Arabidopsis thaliana: one gene and its partner. The protein of the gene in region 1 interacts with the protein of each later gene in a pairwise test. Each region holds a gene or a part of one and is shown in the gene's direction. Other genes may lie near its edges.

Region 1 (4,176 bases):
AGAAGCAGTGTTTCATGTCTTAAAACCTATAAAAAAGAGAAAAATTATAAAATAGAGCACGTAATAATTTATAAATTTTATTAATTATTTCTCAAAATAAGTCGTAATTGAGTGCCGTTTTAAAAATCTTGAGGTGAGCTTCTCTCCATCTGAATAGAAAGAAGAGAAAAGGAATAATTCTTGTCGTCATAGTTCAAACTTCAAGTGGACTCTCGACGACATTTCAATAATACACACATACTTATCTAATCCTGTCACTGAATGGAGTCTTGGTTCAAGAAAGGTGCGCACTAAATAGTAAATAAAAAACTACAAAATTATATCATTGCTCTTGGGAATGATTGGATGTTATAGGCTAATCCCAAATTAATATCTGGACATAATATATTGTCACGTCCGGTTTTTGTTAAGTGACTGATTTAAAAGTGAAACTCATAAGTGATAAAGCACAAAATTACGATTTAGCCTCTATTGTCTTTTCCAAACAAACCATTCTAAACTAGAACCATGGTTCAAGTGGTAAAAGTTTTTATTTGAATATTGTGATTTTGGGAGATATAGGCATGGGCAAAAAAACCCAATAATTTTAATAACTGACCAAACTGAACCGTATCAAAACCAAAGTTCTTAAAATAATCGAATGGTTAGTTGTTAATGAGAGAAAGTTACACTCGAAAATTAGAAAAATTATCAAGTAATATACTTATAAATGATTAGTTTCATTGCCAATTGGTTTTAAGTTAGAAACTCATCTTAAACCCAAATATGTTATTAGTAAAATAAGGGTGATTCAAACCATTTCTTCTCTAGAAAAAGCATTAGAAGAGCTAAAGATGCACTCAGTTAATAATGCTAGGATGATGCTAGGATTATTAGCATTAGAAGAGCTAAAAGGTTGTATCTTAGCCTCTTTAATAATGCTAGGATGATGTGATGGAAATATGTTGGTAGCAGAAGGTGAACTTCGAGGCATGAGTGGTTACCATGCCGTTGTCATGGTCATAATTATGTTCATTTGTACACACCTACTAGCATTACGCAAATAAATAATAGTGTCAAAATTGGTTTTTATGGTTATATCTTTGTTTGCCTATCGACTATATATCTAGTGATCGATTCCGATGAATAAAGTAGAGGATTGGTTAGGCCTACAAATAGGCTGATGCATCTATTGTCTAATTTGTGATGCTTAATGAGTGAATTATTATTATAAATAAAAATTTGAACGAAATAGTTTTCTTCACTTAGTTCAAAAACTAGAGGTAATAGTCTCTCTCTTTTTTTTTTTTTTTTTTTTTGGGTCAAATAGTCTCCCTCTTAAGTTTTATTTTCCTCTCTCATCCTCATCATCTGAGATGTATGGGTTAGTATATACATAAAAGTATGAGCATAAAAAGAGCTTTCTTCATTTACATAAAATATTCAGTGGACATAGAAAAGAGCTTTCTTTATATTTTTTAATTAAAATTTGAATTTACGACGAGATTTCAATTTGGGGTTTAGAAACAGTGTTTTTCTCAGGATCTCTACTTGTGAAGTTTTCGCTTGTGTTTTCTTAGTGTTTTCTCCTTGTGTTGTGTTGTAGTTTTTGGGGATTTATGTAGATTTCAATTTCTTTTTTTTTTGTATTTTCGGTAAGTTTTATCAACTTTTTTTGAAAATCGTATAAATACTTAAGAGTGATACTCATTTTTTTTTTGAATTCCTTTTATATGCTGAGAGCTTTTTTTTAATTTTGAATTATTATTATTTAACATCTGACATTTTAATTTTATAATCAGTAATTGCATGAATATGAGGCATTATTGTTACTGTACCATATCGCATGCGGCCCATTTTAAGCCCAAATCAAGGAATAACTTTTGAAGGACATTTAAAGTTGACCCACAAAAAATAACTTTCATCTTCAATTTCGAATCGATAACCCTAATTTCTCACAGACGAGCAAGAGAAAGAGCCAAAGCCGTTTCTTCAGGTAAATCCCGATCTCCGTTGTCACTTCTTTACTCCAGATTCATTCGTAGTTTCGATCTATAGATTTCATCTTTTTGAATTCATCGCTTTCAAAGTTTTTGAATTGAAGCCTTTTGTTGATAGGTAACTTGAGGATGTCGCGTGTGTATGTTGGTAATTTGGATCCGCGAGTTACTGAACGTGAACTCGAGGATGAGTTTCGTTCCTTTGGTGTGATCAGGAGGTACATAAATTGACTCCTTTTTGGTTTTTAGTTGATGTAAAGTGTGTGAATTTGCATTTATCCTCATTGTTCTTTTGGTGTCTGTGCAGTGTCTGGGTTGCTAGAAGACCTCCTGGTTACGCTTTTCTTGATTTTGAAGATTCAAGAGATGCCCGTGACGCCATCCGTGAAGTAGATGGTATTCGTTGGTCTTCTATTCTACTGGTCTGGTTTTATGAGTTGTTATGAGTTGTTATGAGTTTGATATATATATGATCTATATTGTTATGGTAGGCAAGAATGGATGGAGGGTAGAGCAGTCTCATAACCGTGGTGGTGGTGGAGGTCGTGGTGGTGGTCGTGGAGGAGGTGATGGTGGTCGTGGACGTGGTGGTTCTGATTTGAAGTGCTATGAGTGTGGTGAGTCTGGTCACTTTGCACGTGAATGTCGTTCTCGTGGTGGTTCTGGTGGTAGGCGTCGTAGCCGCAGCCGTAGTCGCAGTCCTCCTAGATACAGAAAGAGTCCTACCTATGGAGGACGAAGGTTATTGTCCCTATTCTTTCTGATTGACGATTTGCAACTAAAAGAAATTGGTCTACCTCATTGATTTATTACCTTGTCTTTTGGTTTCACAGAAGTTACAGCCCTCGTGCTAGATCTCCTCCTCCTCCAAGACGTCGTAGTCCTTCTCCTCGTGGTCGCAACTACAGTAGGTCACCACCACCTTATAGAGCACGTGACGAGGTGCCATATGCTAATGGGTAAAACTCCCCTTGCTCTTGAGTCTACTGTATCTCAATCAATATAAGAAATTGAAACTGAACTAGTGGCATTATCGTCCCAAAGACTTTTTTGTTAGACGTTGTGTTAAAAAACAGAGTCCATGTGGCTGATAAGTTTTTGTATTTGTTTATGCAGAAATGGTCTGAAAGATGTGCGCAGAAGCCGGAGCTGAGTGTTACTTGTCTAGATAGCAAATTATGGGATCAGGAGACAACTATTTGCTTGTGACGTCAAGAGGAGAGGAAATTAGTATCTGTGAATTTCACTAAGAGAATATGTTTTAGCTGTGTGGTGGATTGGATATGCTTGCTACTTTTGAATTGCTGGAAAGCTTCTTATTGCGTTTGGATTATGAAGCCATAGTTGTATCTGCCGTTAGGTAAAGTACTTTTAAATATCTACCCATGTTCTTAAAAGACATAAACAAAAGCTCTGCTAAAAACCTATGCATTTTCTTTGTTTTTTGTTCTATCATCTCGAGGTTTCTTCAGGTTTCTACTGCTTCATTGCTTATCTGCTTTTGGCTTCTTGGTTAATTTGGTCGGCCTGCTATGGGATCTTCATAGTAGTTTACCACAACTTCTGCTTCATTGCTTATCTGCTTCTCGCTTCTTCGTTATTTTGATCTGCCTACTTTGGGATCTTCATAATTGTTTACCACTACTTCTGCTTCATTGCTTAACTGCTTCTGGCTTCTTGGTTATTTTGATCGGCCTGCTTTGGGATCTTTATGTTAGTTCACATCTACTCTGCTTCTCATCTAGATGCTCTTATGTTTGAAAACTTCATCGGCTCTGATGATTGCTGGTCTTGCTTTTCTTGAACTTAAAATGGCCGAGGAGTTGCACTTGCTACTCTGGCAGGTATTTAATACCTTTCAGGCAGGCTTCGAAGAAACTTGTCTTACGGTGTAGAATAGTTTAGAGTATGTAGAACGTCTCTGCTTTGTTTGAGGTGGGCACTTGGATAAACACTTATCGCCATCTGCAATAGTCATTCCTTTGGTTTCATCACGTTTGGTACATGGACTAATCTTTAAACGAGAGATTTTTCTGCTCATTGGTTTCAATTTCATCATGTTTGATTCAAGGATCATTCTGTCTTTATTGAAGGCTTTTTGGCTGCCTCCTCTTCTGATGATGCTTTGGTTTAAAACCCTAGTAAAAGGAGTAGATTTTCATAAGTTTCTTATCTTTGTCCTGTTTTGTTGTGTCCT
Region 2 (4,774 bases), 3.0 Mb from region 1:
CTCTTGTCTGCAGCGGCGGATTAACCTGCCCTGCATCTGATTTTATCGAAGAGACATTTCTTCTTTCGGTTAAGCAAGCTCTCCCTCAGCACGGTCTTTTCATAGTGAATTTGGTCACGAGATCACAGTCCGTCAAAGATATGGTAGTATCAAGAATGAAAAAGGTAAAGCAAATGTGATTCATTCCTTGTAAATTCTCTGCATATTTTCACAAATCTGATCTGATACTATTGCACGGAAATTGAGTCATAGAATTGATCTCTATTGTTTTGTTTTTTGCCAAGGTTTTCGATCATTTATTTGGCCTGCAACTAGAAGAGGAAGATGACGTAAACGTAGTGCTCTTTGGGCTTTGCTCTGAATCTGTAATCAGCGAGAACGATATTCCAGAATCTGCAGTTATACTGGAGGGATTGCTCAAGTGCCAGAGATTGGAAACGAAGCAAAGCATCATAGACGCTACAAAGAAGCTGAAATGCTGGAAATAAAAACATTCTTTATTATTTCGTTTTAAAAAGACGTGTGAGATATATTTCTGTTATAAGTTAAGATTGAAATTTTTGAGACTATATTATATACAATACACCTAGTTTCGTCCATACGCAAATGGAAAATGAAGCGTGGAGTTTTTTTCATAACCTTTATGATTGTTAGACCTACCAACTTATTGAAGCATTCAATTTGGATGATAGTGAAGTTGGAATGTAAGTTAAACATCAATGTCTTGATTAATTTTGTGCATTTTTGGGAACTATCCGTATTGTTTCTGATTTGAGTGATCTTCCTTATTGTTGCTAAGAAATGCTCGAATGGTGATTAGCATAATTGCTGTTTATTCATTGGAGCTATAATAATTATGGTTGTAATATTGTAATTTGGGAAAGAAAGCCTTTGATACAGGCCGATTTTGGTACGTACGTAAGAGAGATATAAATTGAAACACCTAAACCAAAATCTGGTCGCCGCGAAGACAAAAGAAAAACATTTGTGGCAAAGAAACAAATTCAGAAACCGCGTGGGTCCGATATGGAACGCTGATCAATTGGACATTTGTAAACATTTCAAATATTTTGCATGTAATCAATATTGTTGTTATATTTTTTGCCTTTTAGTTATAGTTAGGTTTGTTTTTTCTGTTTGTTTGGTTAGATTCAACTATTTGTTTATGCTTTTCAATTTTGGGTTAGTATTTAGCTGTTTACTTTGGAGAAACAAAAGAAGATAGATTCTGTTCCATATAAACAAAAAGCTGTGTCGTTGAAACTTGAAAATGTGAATATACTCGGATATCAACCAAAGGGTACGCTGCATTAACCAACCTCCCTCGTAGAAAATTTCAAAGAAAGGATAACAAAACAAGAAAAAGCACAAAGTTGAAAAAGAAGTGACAGATGCAGAAGAATTGGTCAAAATCATTTTGACAAAACTACATAAAAAACAATCAAATGTCACTTTCAAAATTATTAGCTTATTTATTATTTTATTATGAAAATAATGAAAGCGACTTCTATCTGGGACTGGTAAAAGGACCTCTCTCACCATTGGTTGTACATTAGCTGTCAAATTTTTACATTTCCATTACATTCCCTAACTCCAAATATATACACTAAACTAAATTCTTCAAGTTACTTCCTAATTACTACTATAGTAATTATTTCCTAACCGTCAAATAGTACTGAATAACACATATAATATAGTTTCGATTGATTAAGAGATTTGAATTAAACAGAATAAAGTTTTACGATTATATATTCTAACAATTTATTTGTCTCACAAAAAAATCTATAGATTTAATGAGAATTAAATGAAGAGGACGAAAGGAAAAACAAAATGAAGAAAAAGACATATGAAACGTAGTCCCCTCTTTTCTTTGCTTTCTTCTCTACATAAAACTAAAACTCCTCTCTTTCACGACCCTTTAAGTAACGACGCCGTTTTCATCCAAACACAAACCTCTGGAATCGTGTCACCGTTGGAGCTCCGGCTTCATTAATGGCTTTCTTCAAGACCTGAAGACAAAAGAAAGTAAAAATATATATACACTAGAGAGACCAAGATCCTCGTTTATGGGTTTCATCGTGTCTTGTGCTTAGGGTGACATAAATACCCATTTAGAGAGCTTAGACCAAGAAGTTTTAGAGTTTGTGAAGTTACTTGTTGGTTAGTCTGCTGTTTCTGGCAAATGCTGAGTCTCTTCTCTCTGTAAGTTCTTTTTTCTTCATTTACTCTGTTTTGTTCCCCATTTTTGGTCTTTTTGACTTAACTTAGAGTATTTTAAGGCAAAATAAAATCATGAATCTTTTGGTATTTTTTGTTCTCATCTTCTTGTGGGGTTTTTCTATTGAAGTTTGCTTAGCTTTGAATCTTGTCTAATGGAGCTAACTCGATCCAAAATAAAAACACGTATAATGATTAACTAGTTCTGCTCATTAGATGAACTAAATTAATGAGTTAATTCCGTAGTTTCATGCATCCTACAATGTATTGTCTATGTATGGAAGCAAAGTATGATATCATATTTAAACATCTATGATTGTGCTACTAAACTTTAAATAATACTTTAAGCTGATGTGATCTTATATGGATAACCTCTGACCATTATCTACTTTCTTTGACCATTGCTCTTGTTTTCTAATCCAAAAGTCGTATCTTCCAATGCATTAGTTGGTCCAAACCTAGATTTGCATCCCTTAATTTGTAGTAGTTAACATCTAATTTTGATGTTAAAACCAAGACACCACTTTGTTTGTCTGGTCTGAGAATATCTCAAGGCGTATAGTTTTGTCCTTATGACGCTTGCAAAAGCAAGTTGTTGAGTTGTAATCTTATGTTTTTTTCTGCAACTTGCCTTGGATGAAGCCATGAGATTATCTTTATAAATGGTAGCAAGTAAACCGGTTTCTTATGTCGAAAAACCGATCATTTTTGTTTTGTTTGATGACAAGGAATGGAATACTCTAGAGACTCGGCAGAGATGATGATGGAGACTAAGCGCAATGTCTACTCGCTTGAAGATAACAAAATTAAACGACACAAGTCATCTGATCTCTCTTTCTCTTCCAAGGTCTTGTGATACATCAAAATCAAAATTCATTGTGGCTATGAAGCTACCGGACATTTCTGTACCAGCATGCTAATGATCTTGAAACTTTGTTGTTCTGTGGTTTAAACAGGAGAGGAAAGACAAATTAGCAGAACGTATTTCAGCTCTTCAACAACTAGTTTCCCCTTACGGAAAGGTACTACTTGGTCCGAAATAATCTTTCTTACACGCTCTTTGTCTTCTCTAGCCATGTTCAAGTCTCTATCTATGCAGACCGACACTGCATCAGTTCTTCTAGAGGGAATGCAATACATTCAGTTTCTTCAAGAACAAGTCAAGGTCTGCTCAAGTTTTCTAATCAAATACTTTTCATTCATTCACCTCCTCCAATCCAATGATGATTATGCTTGATTTTCTCTGTTCAGGTTCTAAGTGCTCCTTATCTGCAAGCAACCCCTTCTACTACAGAGGTGAGCTGAATCTATGATCTGGATCTCGTTTACTTGGATCACAATGCAAGACTGATATTTTCCATCTCTGTAACTAGGAGGAAGTGGAAGAGTACAGCTTAAGAAGTAAAGGGCTATGTCTTGTTCCATTGGAGTATACATCAGAAGTTGCTCAAACCAATGGTGCTGATATTTGGGCTCCTGTGAAGACTCCAACATCTTCTCATGCTTTTAATCTCTCGTCTTCTAATTCGCCCTTTCAATGAGCTGCTGCTAAATTCTCTGTCTCAAGACTAATGAAAATTAGCCAAAGCTTTGGTCTGATCATGTATTGATGGAGAGACCTTGAAGTCGGTGATGGCTGTTTCTGTTATTTTTTACTGCTTAATCCCAACTCTGTGGTGGCTTCTTGTAACAATTGATTCTAATGCGAAGTTTAACGGACCGGTCAATGACCGGAATTAGCTTCCTGTTTAATAAAGTTTGAATTGGTGAAAAAGAGTTAACCGGTTTAGAGAAACCCGGGAAACTTAACCCGACCCAAAATTGTCAAACCCGTTTTGTTTGCGGCTATTGAAGGATCTTCTATTGAAGAGAGCAGCTAGCTAAAACCCTAAAGCCCTAAAATCAAAATTACGCTAAACAGAGAAGGCGACAATGGATCACATCGCTGCGGCGGAAGAGCAAATCGTATCGGAGAGACTTCGAAGAAAGCTTGAAGAAGTTAATGTAGCTGCTCAGACTCAGCTTTCTCCTATCCAAGATCACATCAATTTCACCCTTCAGGTATATACAAAAATCTGTACTTTTCGCGAGCTCAGCATAAATTCTCTCTGATATAACAATTTAGCAATGTTAGCTTCTGAATATGGAATCTTTATTGGTTTGATACAATGCTAGTTTCAAATTTGATGAATTGAGTAGGTTCATGAAAAAAGTCTGAAAATTTGCATTTGGGTTCGTACTATATTCGTCTTTAGACACTATGGATTAGGTTCACGACAATTGCTCTGGTTTAATTACTATATTGTGCTCTGTAGGATATTCGATAAGTAGGCGTGTCTCGTTGCATAACAATTGCTCTGCTTTGTCTTCAGAAGCATGAGAGTTATTAACACCTTCTCTTGTGTTTTTGGGTTGCTATATTGAGTTATATGATCCGTTGATTCAAATTAATTAAACCCTGACAACGATATCATTGTTGCAGCAAGCTTATTTCAAATGTGCATATGAGTGCTTTGATAGAAGAAGAAAGCAAGAGGAGATAAGTAACTGCGTCGAG

The links.
Region 2: the proteins of RSZ22a (region 1) and AT2G31730 interact in a two-hybrid assay, tested with the Arabidopsis thaliana proteins (one large-scale study listed by BioGRID).

What each region holds. Positions count from the first base shown.
Region 1 is NC_003071.7:10,447,729-10,451,904, forward strand, and holds RSZ22a (RNA recognition motif and CCHC-type zinc finger domains containing protein), read left to right. Parts: upstream 1-1,902; 5' UTR 1,903-1,975; intron 1,976-2,097; 5' UTR 2,098-2,108; coding exon 2,109-2,197; intron 2,198-2,286; coding exon 2,287-2,375; intron 2,376-2,470; coding exon 2,471-2,720; intron 2,721-2,812; coding exon 2,813-2,938; intron 2,939-3,095; coding exon 3,096-3,132; 3' UTR 3,133-3,456; downstream 3,457-4,176. UniProt on the Arabidopsis thaliana protein: Probably involved in intron recognition and spliceosome assembly.
Region 2 is NC_003071.7:13,486,767-13,491,540, reverse strand, and holds AT2G31730 (basic helix-loop-helix (bHLH) DNA-binding superfamily protein), read left to right. Parts: upstream 1-1,861; 5' UTR 1,862-2,202; intron 2,203-2,849; exon of another isoform or gene 2,850-2,945; 5' UTR 2,946-2,947; coding exon 2,948-3,064; intron 3,065-3,173; coding exon 3,174-3,239; intron 3,240-3,316; coding exon 3,317-3,382; intron 3,383-3,468; coding exon 3,469-3,513; intron 3,514-3,590; coding exon 3,591-3,758; 3' UTR 3,759-3,991; downstream 3,992-4,774. Other genes in the region: AT2G31740 (S-adenosyl-L-methionine-dependent methyltransferases superfamily protein), read left to right, coding at 14-164, 285-488; AT2G31725 (FAM136A-like protein (DUF842)), read left to right, coding at 4,150-4,278, 4,700-4,774.